4 linked regions of the Canis lupus familiaris genome follow. The protein of the gene in region 1 purifies or fractionates together with the protein of each later gene. This does not show direct contact. Links are inferred from orthologs where the notes say so. Each region holds a gene or a part of one and is shown in the gene's direction. Other genes may lie near its edges.

What was found.
Region 2: the proteins of DCP1A (region 1) and BAG4 purify together in Homo sapiens (affinity purification with mass spectrometry; 4 studies listed by BioGRID and IntAct, counting the BioPlex papers as one, with this or other methods). This does not show direct contact. The link is inferred for Canis lupus familiaris from reciprocal best matches to the Homo sapiens genes DCP1A and BAG4.
Region 3: the proteins of DCP1A (region 1) and PNRC1 purify together in Homo sapiens (affinity purification with mass spectrometry; 3 studies listed by BioGRID and IntAct, with this or other methods). This does not show direct contact. The link is inferred for Canis lupus familiaris from reciprocal best matches to the Homo sapiens genes DCP1A and PNRC1.
Region 4: the proteins of DCP1A (region 1) and DDX6 purify together in Homo sapiens (affinity purification with mass spectrometry; 8 studies listed by BioGRID and IntAct, counting the BioPlex papers as one, with this or other methods). This does not show direct contact. The link is inferred for Canis lupus familiaris from reciprocal best matches to the Homo sapiens genes DCP1A and DDX6.

Annotation. Positions count from the first base shown.
Region 1 is NC_049241.1:36,887,009-36,891,456, forward strand, and holds the start of DCP1A (mRNA-decapping enzyme 1A), read left to right. Parts: upstream 1-1,550; 5' UTR 1,551-1,637; coding exon 1,638-1,772; intron 1,773-4,448. UniProt on the Homo sapiens protein: Necessary for the degradation of mRNAs, both in normal mRNA turnover and in nonsense-mediated mRNA decay. Removes the 7-methyl guanine cap structure from mRNA molecules, yielding a 5'-phosphorylated mRNA fragment and 7m-GDP.
Region 2 is NC_049237.1:28,040,048-28,044,315, reverse strand, and holds the start of BAG4 (BAG family molecular chaperone regulator 4), read left to right. Parts: upstream 1-1,349; 5' UTR 1,350-1,928; coding exon of another isoform or gene 1,929-1,974; 5' UTR 1,975-2,266; coding exon of another isoform or gene 2,267-2,269; 5' UTR 2,270-2,532; coding exon 2,533-2,802; intron 2,803-4,268. Other genes in the region: U6 snRNA-associated Sm-like protein LSm1, read right to left, coding at 1,929-1,974. UniProt on the Homo sapiens protein: Inhibits the chaperone activity of HSP70/HSC70 by promoting substrate release. Prevents constitutive TNFRSF1A signaling. Negative regulator of PRKN translocation to damaged mitochondria.
Region 3 is NC_049233.1:48,554,170-48,558,372, forward strand, and holds the start of PNRC1 (proline-rich nuclear receptor coactivator 1), read left to right. Parts: upstream 1-1,284; 5' UTR 1,285-1,445; coding exon 1,446-1,985; intron 1,986-4,203. UniProt on the Homo sapiens protein: Nuclear receptor coactivator. May play a role in signal transduction.
Region 4 is NC_049226.1:15,026,178-15,030,631, forward strand, and holds the start of DDX6 (probable ATP-dependent RNA helicase DDX6), read left to right. Parts: upstream 1-1,535; 5' UTR 1,536-1,599; intron 1,600-1,713; exon of another isoform or gene 1,714-1,817; intron 1,818-1,824; exon of another isoform or gene 1,825-1,849; intron 1,850-2,676; exon of another isoform or gene 2,677-2,813; intron 2,814-4,454.

The DNA of each region.
Region 1 (4,448 bases):
TTGAGTCCCACATCAGGCTCCCCATGGGGAGCCTGCTTCTCCCTCTGCCTGTGTCTCTGCCTCTCTCTGTGTGTCTCTCATGAATAAATAAATAAAATCTAAAAAAAAAAATAGCTTGGTGTCTTTTCTCTAGTCTAGCCCTGTTCAGTTAAAAATAATAAAAATGAAATGTCTTAGATTTTAGTAAACCTATGTAAGAAAAAAACTAAAGAATAAGTCCTGGGGGGCAGCCCGGGTGGCTCAGCGGTTTAGCGCCGGCTTTAGCCCAAGGCCTGATCCTGGAGTCCCAGGATCAAGTCCCACATCGGGCTCCCTGCACGGAGCCTGCTTCTCCCTCTGCCTGTGCCTCTGCCCCTCTCTGTGTCTCTCATGAATAAATAAAAATCTTAAAAAAAAAAAAAAAAAAAGAATAAGTCCTGGGGATGTAACATACAGCCTGATGACTACAGCTAATAATAGTAATTCATATTTGAAAGCAGCTAGGAGACCCAGATCTTGAAGATTCTTACCACGAAAAAAAATTCTTGTAACCATGCATGGTGATAGATGTTCGCTGGGCTGTGGCTGTCATCATTTGCAATGTATGCAAATATCAAGTCACTATACTGTCCACCTGAAACTAATAGTGTTATATGACAACTACACCTTAATAAAATCATTATTTTTAAAAGAAGAAAAGTAAAAAAATAAATAAATAAAAGAAGAAAAGTCTACTTTAAAAAAAAATTTTTTTAGTTTCAGGTGTGTCTGAATTTTGTATTACCTATGCAAAAAATGCATAATCTTTTTAAACTAGGGTACAGATTTTTAAATATTGGATTGAAAGTAGCTGGAGGGGAGTTGAGACTCATTCTCAAGGATGAAGGAAGGTAGCCATGGTACAGAGGAAAGGACTCTGGGGGGAAGGAAGGAGTCTCTGGATTCCCCTACCAGATTACCCTGGCTAGTGTGCAACTCTGAGCTAGGGATGTCTCCACCCAGCACTTGCTTTAGAGAGGAAGACAAACCATGAAAGATGCCTGGCTCTGGGAAACAAACCAAGGGTTGTAGAAAGGGAAGGGGGAGGGGATTGGGGTGACTGGGTGACAGGCACTAAGGAGGGCACTTGATGGGGTGAGCACTGGGTGTTATATGTTGGCAAACTGAATTTAAATAAAATATTAAAAGAAAAAAAACCCCACCAAATTGTTGACGGCTGTGATGTAGTGAGATGGACGATCTGGGGTGACTTTTGGGGTCCTGCCTCTCCCCCTCCCTCCCTTCTCCATGCTGTCCCCACGATGGTGGAGCCCACACACAGCCAGAGCTGGAGAAAGCTCCCGGACAGCCTCCGATCCCGCTGTCAGGACATTTTACCCCAAAGGCAGGGAGAACCTGCGCCCCCTCCCCCTCGCCTGCCCTCGCCTGCCCCCAACGCCACCCCAAGAGCCTCGGGCGTCAGGAACCCCGGAACCCGGCATCCGGGGGTTGTGGACGTAGCGGAGCACAATAGCCGTCGTACCTACCGCCCCTCCGCGAGGCCCTGCGAAGAAGCGGAAGTGGAAGGTGCTGACGCAGCCGGGGGAACTTTGCTTCGATGGCACCTTCCTGTCCGCGACTCCGCCCCCCGCCGGAGGGGCTCGGCTCCGGAATTCAAGATGGAGTCGCTGAGTAGAGCTGGGCAGGAGATGAGCTTGGCGGCCCTGAAGCAGCACGACCCCTACATCACCAGCATCGCAGACCTCACGGGCCAGGTCGCTCTGTACACCTTCTGCCCCAAGGCCAACCAGTGGGTGAGTGCGGCGCGGCCTCCGAGGTCGTCCGCCCGGCCGCCGCCTCTTAAAGGGGCCGCGCGGACTCTCCGGAGTTGGGGGCGATTCGGGGAGGCGGGGGTTGGGGGGGCGGGGGACGGACCGACCGGCCGCTGGAGGGTGTCAGGGCCGCCAGGGCCTCCAGGGGCTGTGCGGAGAGGGGCGAGGGAGGCAGGCCCAGGACGTCTGGGAGGAAGAGCCGAGAGGAGGGAGGGAGGGCTGGGGTCCGGTCCGGTCCGGTCCGACCTGGGCGGGCTGCCTCCCTTGCAGACGTGCTGGAGGATGGGAACCGGGGGGTCGGAGACACACCTGAAAGGCGCTGCCTGAGGCCGTGCGGGCTCCGGGGTAAACTACCTGTGCGTGATCCGTAAAGTAAACACGCGTCCTCCCCCCCCCCCCCGCCCCCCGACGGGCACGTAAATAAGAGCCCCCTTCGCCCAGGTCATCTGGGTTTATAAAGCTTCGAATCCAATTAGTTTCCATTCTTGGAAGAGAGGTGGTGAGGGTAAGTCCGGCTTTTATCCAACTGTACTATTTACAGAGGTTTTTTTTTTTTTTTTTTTTTGGGTGGGGGGGATTTCAAGGCACTTAAGGAAAAGGGCTTCCGTGTTAATTGCATTTCTTTGAAGCCGTTGGAAAAGAGACCCTGTAAATGCGTTTTAGTTCCAGCTGTGCTGCTGGTGAGGTCGCCTCGGAATGCTCCCTTCCTACTAAGTAATTGTTGGCTTTGCTTGCCTTTTTTTTTTTTTTTTTTTTTTTGCACGGGAGGGGGTCCGAAAAGTTACATTGGGTCTGTTGTCTGACTTGTTGGGCCCCGTTTAAAAGTAACGTGATTTCCAGTTTTCGGGACGCCCGGGTGGCTCAGCGGTTGAGCATCTGCCTGCAGCCCAGGGCATGACCCTGGTGACCCAGGATCGAGTCCCCTGTCGGGCTCCCTGCATGGAGCCTGCTTCTCCCTCTGCCTCTGTCTCTCATGAATAAATAAATAAAATATTTAAAAATAATAATAATAGGGGCAGCCCGGGTGGCTCAGCGGTTTAGCGCCGCCTTCAGGTCAGGGCGTGACCCTGGTGACCCGGGATCGAGTCCCGCGTCGAGCTCCCTGCATGGAGCCTGCTTCTCCCTCTGCCTGTGTCTCTGCCTCTCTCTCTCTATGTCTCTCATGAATAAATGAACAAAATCTTTAAAAAAAAAAAAAACTATTTTAAAAAATAATAATAATAAAAATAAAAGTAACATAATTTCCAGTTTTCTAGCAATTGACCCTCCATGCTTTACTCCTTTAGGCTTTACTTTTGGCAGATGATCTGTCAACGTCTGTTGGATTGATTTCATAAACAAGTCACATTCACATTTCAGTGAAAAATGAAATACTACTAACAAAACCCTGAAAGATTATCGTAATGTGCCCTTTACGGTATAAAACAGACTCATAGGCTATATTTAAACAGTAATTGTATGAAAATCATTTGACGTTTATAAACACTTAACTCAGATGAAGAGAGCTTTCAGGATCCTCTTGCTTTTTTACCTTATCTTCTTTCTTTCCCCTCCTGGAAGAAGAGGTATGGAAAACCACAAAGAGCAAACTTACAGATTTTTATTCTTATTTTTAAGTTTTTTTGCTTTTTTTTTTTTTTTTTTTTTTTTAGTGTAGCTGTTTTAGACATTGCCTTAGTTTGAATTGTTCTGAATCATTTTTCTTTATTTGGTCTGCATATAAATTTGTGAGATGTGAATTGCAGACAAATGATGAAGACTTGGGGGCAGGAACTTATGACTAACACTCATATTTCTAGTTTTTCACAGACTTTCAGAATTGTAGAATTCTGATTGTAGAGTCCTGCTTTAAATATGAAATACAAATTATATCTATCTGGATTGAAAAAGAAGCTGTTCGTTTGGTTAATGGCCCATAGAGCATAACCAAAATCTTTTGTATTTTTATTTTACAGTGAGTTGTAACTTTGCACAGTGTTGTTTGAGCAAGTTTTCTTTCACTGTGAGACCGTAGATTGCCAATTTCTTTTTTAATAATTTAACATTTGAAAGGCAAGAAAAAGCCTGTGAATCCTTAGGAAGGAAAAGTTTTTATGATGATGTTTATGATAGGGCAATACTCTCAGCATGTTAAATATTTTTTAAATGTTTTTATCCCAACAAACCCAATTTGATATGACTAGCATTTAAAGTTTTCTAACAGTTTGTGGATTGCATTAAAATACATCACTTCTACCTAAGCTGTGAACTGCCACTAATATAGTTATTTGGGTTTTTTTAAAAACATTGTGTCTAACACCTAAATACACTTGTCACAGCGAATGAAAGATAATGAGTTGTACTTTTAATCAAGATGTTTCTTATTCTTAAAATGTTTTAGTTATACATTTTATAATAATTACCTTAAGGCAGAGTATAGCTTCAGGTTTCATGATTCTTCAACAAAGGTTTAAGAATAAAAAATTGTGTTCGACAGTATTTCTTAACAAACCACAAAATTTGCTATTCATCAAAATATACCCAAATCGTCCAATGATGAAGCAAAGTATCCTAGGATATAATGTTTTCTTTTTTTTCCTTCCCTAATAACTTTGATAAACTTTAAAAGTGAAGGAATTGCAGTATACAGAAGCTTGGCTTTAAAATTTAAAAATCGGA
Region 2 (4,268 bases), on another chromosome or scaffold:
ATTAATGGAAGAAATAGGGGAAGAAAGAATAATAAAAGACCACAGACTGAAAAGGAATACCTCCTACTCAGATGAGAGGATGGGTGCATATGCAGAAAGACTGAGGAGAAAGGAGGAAATTGTGTGTCATTGGGGGGACAGCGAAGGGTACATAAGGAATGGTTTCAAACTTTTCAGTAAAGGAGGGGGCTTGGAGTCTACAAAGAAGGCGTTAGAGGGTTTGAGAACAAAAATTATTTTTAGTAGAACAGCAGGATTTATTAGGGGCTTCATATAATTCAGATACATAAAATGAGAGGTGGGCAGCCCCGGTGGCACAGCGGTTTAGGGCCGCCTGCAGCCCAGGGCGTGATCCTGGAGTCCCACGTCAGGCCTCAAGTCCCACGTCAGGCTCTCTGCATGGAGCCTGCTTCTCCCTCTGCCTGTGTCTCTGCCTCTCATTCTCTCTCTGTGTTTCTATGAATAAATAAATAAAATCTTTAAAAAAATAAATAAAATAAAATAAAATAAAATAAAATAAAATAAAATGAAATAAAATAAAATGAGAGGTGGGGGCAAAAGGGCATCCACAGACAACTAAAATTGAATTTTTCATTACATATTACAGGTGGATTTGTGCAATTGTTATTTATATACAAATACAGTCCAATTCACACTACATTTTCTTTCAATAGCAAAATCACTAATTTGGATTTATTTACTGATTTGTTTTTAAAGATTTTATTTATTTATTTAACTGAGAAAGAGAGCACAAGCAGGGGGGAACAGCAGGCAGAGGGAGAGGAGCAGCAGGCTCCGCTGAGCAGAGAGCCCCATGTGGGGCTGGATCCCAGAACTCTGGGATCATGACCTGAGCCAAAGGCAAACACCTAACGGATTGAGCCATCCAGGCGCCCCACTAATTTGGACTTAAAGAATGATTTCAGACAACGAAGAGAGTATGATCACAGACTCACATTTTATTATTTTTTTAAAAATTGTATTTTGAAGTACTCTCTAAGTAACCCAAAGTGGGGCTGACCTCACAACTCTGAGACCAAGAGTCACCTGCTCTACTGACAGAGGCAGGCAGGCGCCCCAGGGACTCACTTCTTAAATTTGCATACATAATAACCGTGATTGTTGTAACTTGTTTGGAACTGTGTAAACCACTTTTGCAGCAATTATAAGTTAATGAGACAGACCACAGGATTTTAAAGGATTAGAAAATGTTGCTTGAGGAGTAATTCACAGAAGAGAGCTTAGAAAGGGACAGAGAGGAGTCTTTCTTTTGCGCAGGACCGAACTCTTCTTTAGAACAACGATGGGGAGAAAAGGGAGGTCTTTTTAGTACAAGTAAGAGAAAACCGTCGAACAGAAAAATAAGTTTGAAGTGATTCAGCCTTTCCAGAAAAGTCAATACCTTTGTCTGAAAGTGCTGAAGAACCTGACGGTAAAAGGATATTGCAAATGGCTACACAGCATAAAACCTGCGTTTACTGCCAATTAAGTCCAACCGCTGCTATCTTTTAAAACGTTCGTTTCTTAACGAATCCTTTCTCTACTCTCATTCGTCTACCAGTAACAAGCTGGTACTTCGATATATATTGCAGGTGGGAAAGAGTGGACGTGGGGAGGGGCAACTCTGGCGTCTGGGTCTTGGCAGCCGCGTCCCTCCAAAGCAGGAGTGAATTCTACAGCTTGTGGCTTATCGGCCCACGGGCTGGTGGAGGCTGCGAGACGCAGGAGAGAGGCAGGCGGCTAGGAGGTGGACAAATGGAGTGCCTGAGGCTCTTCACTCACGTGGAGCATGTCAACGCCGAACAGCCAGAAGCGTGCTAAAAACACTCCCCCCGCCCCAGACTCCTTCTACGAGCTCCCCCTGAAGAGGTGTCCGCCCGGGAGGAAGGATCTCACCCGACTTCACGCAGAGGAGATGAGCTACTCACTGTCGATGTCCTCTATGAGGCTGGCGGTACCGGGCATATAGTTCATTTTGAGCTGAGATAAGGCTGCAGAGTATAGCGGCGGCGGGCCAGTGCGTCCAACACCTCCTTCTTTCTGACCGCAGTCGCCGCCTCGGCGGGACCGGGACAGGAACCCGGACCAGGAGCAGCACGTCCGCCCCGGCTTTCAGAAGCCGGGGCCTGCCGGAAACGCCTCCATATTATTCCCACCCACTTCCGGTATCACGTGCCCGTCCTCCGGAAGAGGCGGGACTGGCGCGGTCCCGGGACACCCATTCCCCGCCCCCGGTAAAAGGGGAAGAGGAAGCTAGATTGACTAGATGGTAGGGAAAACGTAGTCTCCCTTTTAAGAAACGCAGGGCTGCAGCTCGTCCTCCAGCTTCCCAGACAGCCGCCCCCCGCCTCCCCCGAGGCACGGACCTCCGTCCCACGACTCTCGGGACTCGCCGCCGAAGGGGCGGGCCCGAGCCAGGATTGGCTGCTGTCGGCCGACCCCTCTCCCTGCTCTCCAGTTCCTCTCGTCGGCGGGCGCTTGCGCCATGGGCTGGCCGTGGGGGGCGGGAAGCGCTGCGGGGCATTAGAGCCCATGTCGGCCTTGAGGCGCTCGGGCTACGGCCCCAGCGACGGTCCTTCGTATGGCCGCTACTACGGGCCGGGCGGGGGAGACGTGCCCATGCACCCGCCTCCGCCCTCGTATCCTCCTCGCCCTGAACCTCCCCAGCCTCCCATTTCCTGGCGGGTGCGCGGGGGCGGCCCTGCTGAGACCACCTGGCCGGGAGAAGGCGGAGGAGGGGATGGCTACTACGCCTCTGCAGGCGCCTGGTCAGAGAGCGGTCGAGCTGGAGGAAGCCACCAGGTAAGCTTCGGGCCATCTGTCCCAGGGGGGTTCGATAAGGGGAGTCTTTGGAGGGTGAGGGCCGCCGGGGTTGATAAGCCTCTGGAGTTCGTAATGGATTGGGTTTCATGTTTATTTTGCTTATGGGGGGTGCGTTGGAGAGACAGACGGGGTTTGTGGCTGGAGGGATATGCTTGTGTTCTCTGCGTCTCCTTCTTCGACCATAATAAATGTGTCTGCTACCATTAAAAAAAAAAAAGAAGAAGAAGAAAGATCCTCCGCTGACTTGATAAGCCGAGTAGCAAGGTGCGGAATCTCTCGCCTTGGGTTGACGTTGGGCTGGAAAGCTTTTGGAGCTCTAACAATTTATCCTGCGTGGCTCATATGGCCGGCTCTTCCCGAGAAGGGAGGTGGCTGCAGCCCCCGCTGCCACTCAGCAACCCCTCCCGACGGGAAAGAACCCTGCATGCAGGAGGAGGAGGGATCGGGCATTTAGCCCTTTGCCCCTAACGCTTTGTCCGGGGTTAACTCACCAGTAATCAATGTTGGAAAGCACCTTTACTTGGATTGTTAAGTTACGTTGCGGTTGCGACGTAAATGCCATTACAACCTCTCTCTTTTATGATTTAATAGTTGGCCCCTGAGAGGTTAACTCACTTGGGCAGTAGAGGTCTCCCTGGGTTTTTGAAGGTTCACTTTATTGCCACTTGGTTTTTTAGGAAGGACCTACATTAGTGCCTGTTTTTACTAACTGCAAGGAATCTGGAGAGGAGTTTGGCTTTTAGGAAAGAAGCTGAAAAGTGAGAATAGCTTCAGTGTTTGTTTTGCAGCAAGCAGTAGTAGAGGCAGTGCGCAACTGGGCAGTAAGAGTGGCACCGCCAATCTCCTTCCCTGGGAACTACACTCAGCTTCTCAGCATCACACTGCCATTACTCTGAACTGTGTCTATGAGCCTCTGGGCTTTATCTCCATTTATTTTGTGCGTTTGTTGGCAAGATATGTCCTAAGGTATCAGAAAAGCCTAAGAAAGGTTATTTGAGGAGCCTGGGAATGCTGAAACATTTTTCATAAAAATTAATGGTAATTGCTTCCCCCCCCCCCTTTATGCCATTTTGGCTTTACAGAAGATTTCATAGGAATGTTCTATTTTCAGATAGCAGGGGAAACCTCTACAGTCGGACTTATAACATTTTACTCCTTGTGTTCCTGTGGGAAATATACTTCTCTTTTGTTAATTAAGTATTTTTAGCAGTGAATTATTATGTGGTTGAGGGGAGCACACCTCTCTTTCCATTCAGTAATTAGAACATCTTCATGGGTTGAAAATGTAGTAGTGAAATGCCCATATATTGCTGGTAGGGATATAAAATGGTTCATTGCTTTGGAAAGTAGCTTGGCAGTTCCTCAGAACGTTAAGCATAGAGTTAGTATATTACTCAGCAAGTTTGCTTTTAGATATGTACCCAGGAGAACTGAAAACATGTCTA
Region 3 (4,203 bases), on another chromosome or scaffold:
GCATTATTCCGGGTATCCCGTCTGTCCAACTTTGTTACCAATCATAAAACATTTATCGAGCACTACAAAGCGGAAAAATATTGGCTAGAGGCTACGATACAGCTAAGGATACAGAGAAGGGTAAGATTATTGTGGTGGTCTCCAAACTAAAGTGGCAGGTAGTTTGGATGATGTTAAAACTTGGGTCCTTGCCATCCCTGGACTGGAGTTCAAATTCTATTAACTTGCTGTATGATAGCCTGACAAGTACTTTTTGCTTTTCGAAGCCGGTTTCCTCTCTGATAAAGTGGGGACAAAATAGAGTACCTATTCCTTAGGGTCGAGTTCAAATGACATAATTTATGCAAAGCACAGTTTCTGCCACAAAAGTACTTGATAAAAGAGCCATGGCTTGTGTGTGTGAGCGCAGTGCGGAGAGACGATGAGCGTGGGATTTCCAGAACACCCCAGCTAGCAAGATACACTGCAGGTTGCAGAGCTGTTTCACTTTCTCCCTTTGAGACGCAAACCTCCCCCTTTGCTTCCTCAGTGCCAGGCACCGTTTCGTGATCCCAAAGTCTCAGAGTCCTTCAAGTATAAAGACAGTAACATTCCCACTGCTCAATCACGGATTTACGGGGAACGCTGTATTTGCTAAGGGGCCCCTTTCAATCAGTCACTCCCCTTAATTCTCACTCTTTTTACCGCGTTTAAGGAACAGCGCTTGGTGACCCGAGTAAATGAAGACAACAACGCAAGCCACACTTTGCCAAACAGAACTTAAATGTGGACTGATCTCCTTGCAATTGCTAAGAATGAAACCCCTATAACGTACTTTGAAACCTTTTTAAAAAATCCTAATGTTATTATTCTGCTGGGCTTGAAATAAGAGAGACTCCCCACCCCCCCCAACCAAGGTCAGTGGCTGAGGAGGCATCCGTGGCCTTGAGGTTTCCAGGTTTCTTTCTCCCGCCCCCATCCCCTTTTCCAAATCCGGCCTCGATCTAGCACTAGGACCCCTGCCTTCAGGGCAAGGTGCGGAGGCGAGAAGGGAGCAGGGTGGGGGAGGTCGGGCTGAAACGGAACTTCATTGTTCGCGGGACCGACTCTTCCCGAAAGAGCCCGTTGGCAGCGCCTGCGCAGTGCACGCTCTTTGTGCGGGGCTGCAGCAAGCTGGTTGTTTGTGTGTGTCTCTTGGAGGCGGGGGAGGGAGCGCCGGAGGGGGCGTGGCCTGCGCCGCCGCATCCTGATTGGGCTCTCGGGAGGAGGTGGGCGGGCGAAGGGCGGGGCTTCGGATAACAACACTCGGCGCTGAGGCTGAGGCTATTTGTTGCTGCGCCGCCACCGCCCGAACCATGGTCCGCGCTCCCCTCGGGCTCTCTTAGCAGCAGCCGCCGCCGCCGCCCTGCAATCGCTGGCTTCTCTTCCTCCTTTTCTTCTCGCTGAGCCACTTTCCTCCTAGAGCTATGACCGTCGTCTCCGTCCCGCAGCGGGAGCCCCTTGTCCTGGGCGGCCGCCTTGCGCCCCTGGGCTTTTCCGCCCGCGGTTACTTCGGAGCTCTCCCGATGGTGACCACGGCCCCGCCGCCTTTACCCCGAATCCCGGACCCCCGGGCACTGCCCCCCACCCTCTTCCTCCCTCACTTCCTTGGGGGAGACGGTCCCTGCCTGACCCCGCAGCCTCGCGCCCCAGCACCTCTGTCCAACTGCGGTCTGGCTCCGGCGGGAGGCGCCTCTCGGGCAGCGCCAAAGAAGCGGCGCAAGAAGAGGGTGCGGGCCAGCCCGGCGGGGCAGCTGCCCAGCCGCTTCCATCAGTACCAGCAGCACCGGCCGAGCCTCGAGGGCGGGCGGGGCCCCGCGACGGGCCCGAGCGGAGCGCAGGAAGTCCCGGACCGGGCCTCCAGTTTGGCCCCGGGTCCTGCGGCCGCAGCCCAAACTGAGGAAGCGAGCCCGTTCCCTGGCCCGCTGCCGCCCCCGGCGCCCGGCCAGCCCTCGTTCAGAAGAGAGGTAAGGGCCGCGAAGGGGTCATGGGGGCTGCTGGGGGAGTTCTGGCCCTTAGGCAGCCCCCGCCGGGCTCTGGGATTCGGGGCCCCGCACGGAGGGGTCGGCAAGGGGGGGCCGGGGTGAGGGGCGGCTGTTTACTCGGGAGGGAAGTTTCCGTGACGCCCGCTCGGTTCCAGCCCGGGGAGCGGGGGAGGGGGAGGCATGCGCTGGCGCCGCTGATTGGCTCCCGGGACTCAGCCAATGGGAGCCGCGGCTGCGCCCCAGCAACAGCCCCGATTTAGAAGGCTGGCGGCGTTCCAGGGGGTTTCGGCGCTCGGGCGCGCGGCGGGGGGGAGGGGGCCCGCGGGAGGCTGACGTCAGCGCGCTACGTGCGCCGCGCTCCGGCGCTCATGAAGGAGGCGAGGCCGGGGAAGGGGCGGGCGACCGCTCTGGGCTCCCCGACGGCGGCGCGCGTGCACGGCCTCGGCCGTGTTGTGGGTCTGGAGCGGGCCGCGAGCGGCTGCAGTCGGGTTGGCCTTCCGCCGAGCAGCGGTGCCCGGGTGCGGCTCTGCCCCCGCCGCCACCCTTCTCAGCTGTACCTTTTTTTTTAATTTTTTTTTTTTTAACTCTTAAGAAGTTGGCAGGGACGGCTGCACCTGCAGTTCCTGCCTCTCTGGGACGAGAGCTTTTGCGTGCTCGCCTGGCAGATGAATACGGAGTTGCTGACCTTTTCAGTCTACTGTCCTGGGTTTTACTGATGGGAGGTAGTTTTCTTGAGTCCAGAACGATGAAACTTTTCTCTAAAGTTGTAAGTTGCGGTTGACGTTGAAGCCTCTCCATTGCCGCGCCGTTAGGTTAGGGTGAGACTAGCACTCCGGCGAGATTAAGTCGCTAACGAGCTTTTGAAATTGATCTGGGTAGCAAAGTAAAACCTGCCAATTTCAAAGACTTAACGGCCTCAAGAGATGAAAGTAAGTGGCAGCCACTCGTCGTTGGACGAGTATAGAGATTGGCAGCTTCTCGCTAGATTTGATCGCCGTGATTACCGAAATAATAGTACAGTTTTAAGATTCCAGGGCTCTGAAACCGTATCTGATATGCCGTCTCCTTTTGGAGACTTCTTGGTTCCTGGTTAAAAGTAATCTTTTTTCCGGCACTTACTGACCTGGAATGTTAGGGTGGGCGCCCGGGCATTTGTATTCTTGTCCAGCTTCCCTTCCACAGTACAAGTGTGAGAAGGGCGGTGAGCGAATGAAGCACTCTACTCCTCCATCCGGTCATGGCTTCCTGTAAGGATCACTAGTTAGGGAAAGCAGTTAGAATTGGTGCGGCAAGGTTGTTTTTTTAAGGTTTTATTTATTCATGAGACACACAGAGAGACAGGCAGAGACCCAGGCAGAGGGAGAAGCAGGCTCCATGCAGGGAGCCCCACGTGGGACTCGACCCCGGGTCTCCAGGATCACGCCCTGGGCTGAAGGTGGTGCTAAACCGCTGAGCCACTCGGGCGTCCTGAGCGGCAAAGTTCTTAAAGGCAATTGTTAAAACAAGAGGTAGGGACAGGTGGAAACAACTTTTTAAAAAAGATTTTATTTATTCATGAGAGACACAAGAGGCAGAGACCTAGGCAGAGGGGGAAGCAGGCTCCACACGGGGAGCCCCATGTGGGACTCCATCCTGGAATTCCAGGATCACGCCCTGGGTCAAAGGCCCAACCGCGAGCCACCCAGGTGTCCCGGAAAGTTTCAGTTTTAAAGTTGCTGCTATATGTGTAGCTGGAAAAGATGATAAAAAATGATTAGTACTTAAATTTATGAAATTTTGTTTTCAGAAGCCGGGAGATAATTTTTCTGTGTACTTAATAACCATTATCAAAACACTTAAAATCTAGTTCCTGCTAACCAAATTTTTATTCTAGAATAATTTTGTTTTTTAAATTTTCTTTCCTGGATAATTTTAAAAGGACTTGACTAAAAGATATATAGTAATCTATGAACATAGGTTTTATTTTTAACCAGACCCAGTCAATCAGAATGAAAGTATGTGAACATCCTCTTGGCCACATCTTACTGTTTGGAAAGTAGCTTGTTACTCTTCCTTACAGTTATAGAAAGATGAACTTGGGTTACTTTGGGTTTCTTTCCCTGTGACACTTCTCCCTACATTACTTATTGGTGGTGGTAGTAAACTTAGATGTGTGCTTATTTGGTAAGTGCAGTGAGCCCACGTTGAAGCAAGGCAGTAA
Region 4 (4,454 bases), on another chromosome or scaffold:
GAGCGAGGCCCGCACAAGGCAGCACATTTTCACATTTTATACCCGACCTCCGCCACCCTCTCCCTAGGCTGGGCACAGGGTGCGGGGTCGCTCCCTGACAGCAGCGGCGGTGTAAAATCTGGGTGGGAGAGCACAGGCTACGCTACACGTTCAGGATCTTAAAAACTGTCAAGGGGGATCCTCCCTCATAATCGCAAGAACGGGCTTTTCTTGCTTCTCCACCACCTTTCCATTGGCTGCGCGGAGAAAAACAAAGGCGACCGAAGGAGACCAGGCCATTTCCTCGGAGCCCGCTGAGCGAGGCCGCCGGCCCCTTCCCGAGTTCGGCGGAGACCGGCGGGGACGCAGGGAGGTCCCGAGGCTCGCTGTGATTGGAGGCTGCCGGCGTGAGGGAGCAGGAGGCAGGCTAACCAGCCGCGGGGCGTGTCCGAGCGGTCGGTTTGGGGAACAGATTTGGCTTTCTCTGATTGGCCCCGAGTTGGGAGCTGGGGCAAAAATTGGGGAACTGGCCGGGGACGCCGGGAGCGCGGGGGTCCCGCTTCCGGTCGGTCCGCTGGGGACACCCGGGGGCCGCCACTCCCTTGACCTGACCAGCTTCCTGGCTTCCAGTTTTCCTCTCACCCGGGGCCACACAGCGCTCCCCACACTCCTGCCCAGGAGAAGCGCAGCCATCAGGACAGGACGAGTAGTTAGGAGGCCGCCGGGCGGCCACGGAGCTAGAGAAGCAGCGGTCGGGGCGGGGGCGGGGGGGGGCGGGGGCGGGGGGTCAGGCCCGGGAAGACTCGCCCTCGGCCGCCGTCTGGTTCCTATTTCCACGAGAAGTGACTCCTCAGCAGCTTTCCCTTCCCGGCGGGGAGGTCGCAGCCCGCGCCCCCGCCCCCCCTCAGCGGGGCCGTCGCCCCCCTTCCGGTCCTCACACCCGGCGCGCGCCGGCACCTCCGGGCCTCTAGTGCGGCGCGCTCCCGGCTGAGGCGCTCCCGGCTGAGGCGCGCCCGCAGGGGCTCGGCCGCGGCCCCCGGCTCCGCAGGCCCCCGGCTCTGCAGCGGCTGCCGCGGCCCGCGGGGGACGTCAGGTCAGCTCTCCCGTCCCCGAGCCGCGCGGCCCGGACGCCGCGTCCTCGCTCGGGAACAAGGCGCCCCTCCTCTGGTCACAAGCCCCGCTTGACTTGCAGGGCCGCCTCTCCCCGGCCACCGTGTCCCCACTCGTTTCTCCTCAGCTGTGGAGAAAGCTAGCCCTCCGTCCCACTCTGAAAGGAACCCGTGTCTCCCCTGCGAGTCTCCGTCGCCCCGGTCGGTGTGAGAGCACCGCCGTCTGTTTGCTCCTCGGGGAGGTTCCCCGGCCAACGCCGCGCCGGCCGCGAAGCCGAGGAGGCCGTGACGCCGCGGCAGGCGCGGCGGCGGCGGCTGCGGCGGCGGCGGCGGCGGAGCTCTCGCCATCTTGCGTGGAGGAGGAGCCGCGGCCGCCGCCATGCGGACAGGCAGGGGGAGGGGGAGCGGAGGGGGAGGGGGCGGCGGGCGGGCGGGGGAGGGGCAGAGCAGCCGAGTTAGCTCAGCCCGGGCGGCGACTCCGGCGGCGCCATGAGAGCGGGCAGCGGCGGAGGTAGGGCCGGGCGGCCGGGAGAGCCGGCGGGCGCGGGCGGCCCGGGAGCGGCCCCCGGAGCGGGGCGGGGGCGGGGGCGGGAGGAGGAGGCGGCGGCAGAAGCGAGGGGCCGGGTGGGGGCGGGCGGAGGTTTCCGAGGAGGAAGGAGCCGCCGCCATTTTGGGAGCTTCGAGTCAACAATAAAGGACCGAGGGTGCCGAGCGGGAGTGGCCTCGGCGGTAGGACTCGGGCCCGAGCCTCGGGGAGTGGGGTGAGGTGGTGGGGTCGAGGTCAGCGGTGCGGTCGGGGCCGCGGGGAGCCCCTCGGCCGGCGGGGGGGGGGGGGTGCTCTGAGGCGGAGGCCTGAGGCCTGGCCGGGTCCCGGGGAAGAAGGCGGGCGGCGGGCGGCGGGCGGCAGCCGTGTGGGGCGGGGGGCGCCTGAGCGGAGTCGAGTATGGGGGTGTCCTGCGCGGCGGGGTCCGGAGAGGGAGCGGGCGAAGTACTCGGAGGAGCTTTGTGGAGGACGAGGGGACCTGGGTCCGCAGGGGCGGCAAGGACTTCGGGGGATGGCGGAGGTTATAGGGTACGAGGCGGCCCTATAGGGGGCGGCAGGGACATGCAGCGTCGGAGGGCTCGATTTGGAGGAGGACCCGCTGCTGCTGGCTTGGAATAAGGCCTCGTAGGTCGGTAACAAGAGGGTGATTATGGAGCCCCCGAGTCGTGGAGGAAAAGGAGGGGCTTTCTGACTTAAGGGTTTCTCTTTGGGGCCTTCTGGGGGTAGTCCCTATTGTTTCCTGCCCGCGGAGTTGGTTCCCTGCTCTTGTGGCGCAGCTGCGAAGATAGGGCCCCAACCCTTTTGTGTTTATGGTCACAGGGGGCTGGCTGACTTGAAGTGTGTGGTTTGGGGGGGGGCGTGTTGGGGAGCGAGAAATTACCTCACAATCCGGGGTTCGAATCATTGGCTTGTCCCCCCTCATCCTTCACTCCCTTTTCTCTACCACAGCCCTCCCACCCCCTCCCCCGTTCCCCTCAGAAGAAAACAGTCCCTCCAACTTGCAGACCAAGCTTAGAGAAACTGCGCTGCATTTGCAAACAAAAGCTCTTGTCTGAGATGACGATACTGTTTTTGGGTGTGAAACTGTCAATTGCTAACTACACAATCTGGGAAGTGCTGTAATTAACTCCGCCAGGGGCTCCTCCCAACTAGTCTACGTTTCGTTCGTATTTTTGAAAAATGTAGAATGTAACTTGCAAGTCTAAATTGGGAAGGGGTAGGAGGAATATTTCCTTCTCTGAGACATAAAGCTGCAGTGCAGGTTTCGGTTCAAGTAAGAAGGGAGTAATAGTCCTATTTTGGATCTAGGGAGATGAGGTCTTAGATTAAGAGAGAGCTCGTGGGACGATAATTTATCTTAATCTTTAGAGGTTGCCCTCTTCATCTTACGGATTTGCAAACAAGTCTTGTGTGAACTCCGTGATATTGTTGATCATAATATAAACCTGTCGATACAGGGAACAATTTACCGCCTTGAACTGAAATTAGGTTGGCTGTTAACCACGGTCTGCGTAAGGCATTAGATTCTAAGAGACTTAGAAATGTACAGCTTTGTGTATATGGTAATCAGGATTTGCTTCTGAGCAACTAAATATTCAGTTTTTTAAAAAGTCATAACCAGTTGTCTTGGAAAAGATTTATTGTTTTGGAATCTTTGGTGTTTGGCACACAAAAAAATCACCATCAATTAATAAACTAGTGTGTATTTTTTGGTAAGAAATAGAAGAGTTAAAAAAGCACAAACCTAACAGTACTTTATTGTCCATCCTTTGTAAATTGTTTTTACCTACTACTTTTCAAAGTAAGAATTTGATTTTTGGGAATAATTAAAAACGGAGGTTGACTAGTTCTTTTTTAAAACAACTATTTAGTACTCTGGGTTTCTTGGAAAATTTGGTTAAAGTTGCTAGTCTGTTTTAGGCTTTCACAGATTTTTTTTAGAACAGTTTCCTTTTGTGTTTTTTATCGATATTTTTTGATAACAGCAAATATTTTAAGTTAGGATACACTTTTTTGGAAAGTGTTATTAAAACGGATTTAGCTAATAGTTTTTTTTAGTATTAAGTTAGCTAAAGATTCTCTTGGCTGTTTCTCAAGCAAAAGATTTTGACATGGAGACCTGTCTCTGTTTCAGTTACTTTTTTTTTTTTTTTTTTTTTTAAGATTTTATTTATTCATGAGAGAGACAGAGAGGCAGAGACATAGGTAGAGAGAGAAGCAGGCTCCATGCAGGGAGCCTGATGTGGGACTTGATCCCAGGACTCCAGGATCACACCCTGGGCCGAAGGCAGGCGCTAAACCGCTGAGCCACCCAGGCATCCCTGGTTACTGTCTTAAAGGGCAAAATTTAAGAGGGAAAAAAATATTTTTCTTCATAACGTTAAGCCTCTGTAGTTGAAATCCATAAAGTCACAAATGTGTATTTTTGCCCCAGAAAACATAAAGTTAAGTCAAAAGCTCAATTTCAGGAATTCTCAGTTGCTGTCAGAAATAGAAAAAAAAAAAAAAAAAATGAATGGTCTTGCCTTGTTCCAAGATATGTAGATTTACATTAATAAAATTGTGTGATACTTCATTGAGTTGTAATGCAATTAAGGGTAATGAATCATTGACTTTTAGAGGTGGCAGGGATTTTTAGAGAATTCATCAGGGAGGAAACTGAAGGGAAGAGATTGCCATTTGACAGCTAATGCTAATTTAATCACAATATCTTTCTACCTAATCTTCTCTGGGTTGCTTTGAACTGACAGTTTAAAATGTTTGAGATTGGTCTCAGTTGGCTTGGGTTTTTTGAGGCAGTTCATCTTTTCAAGTCTCTTCCT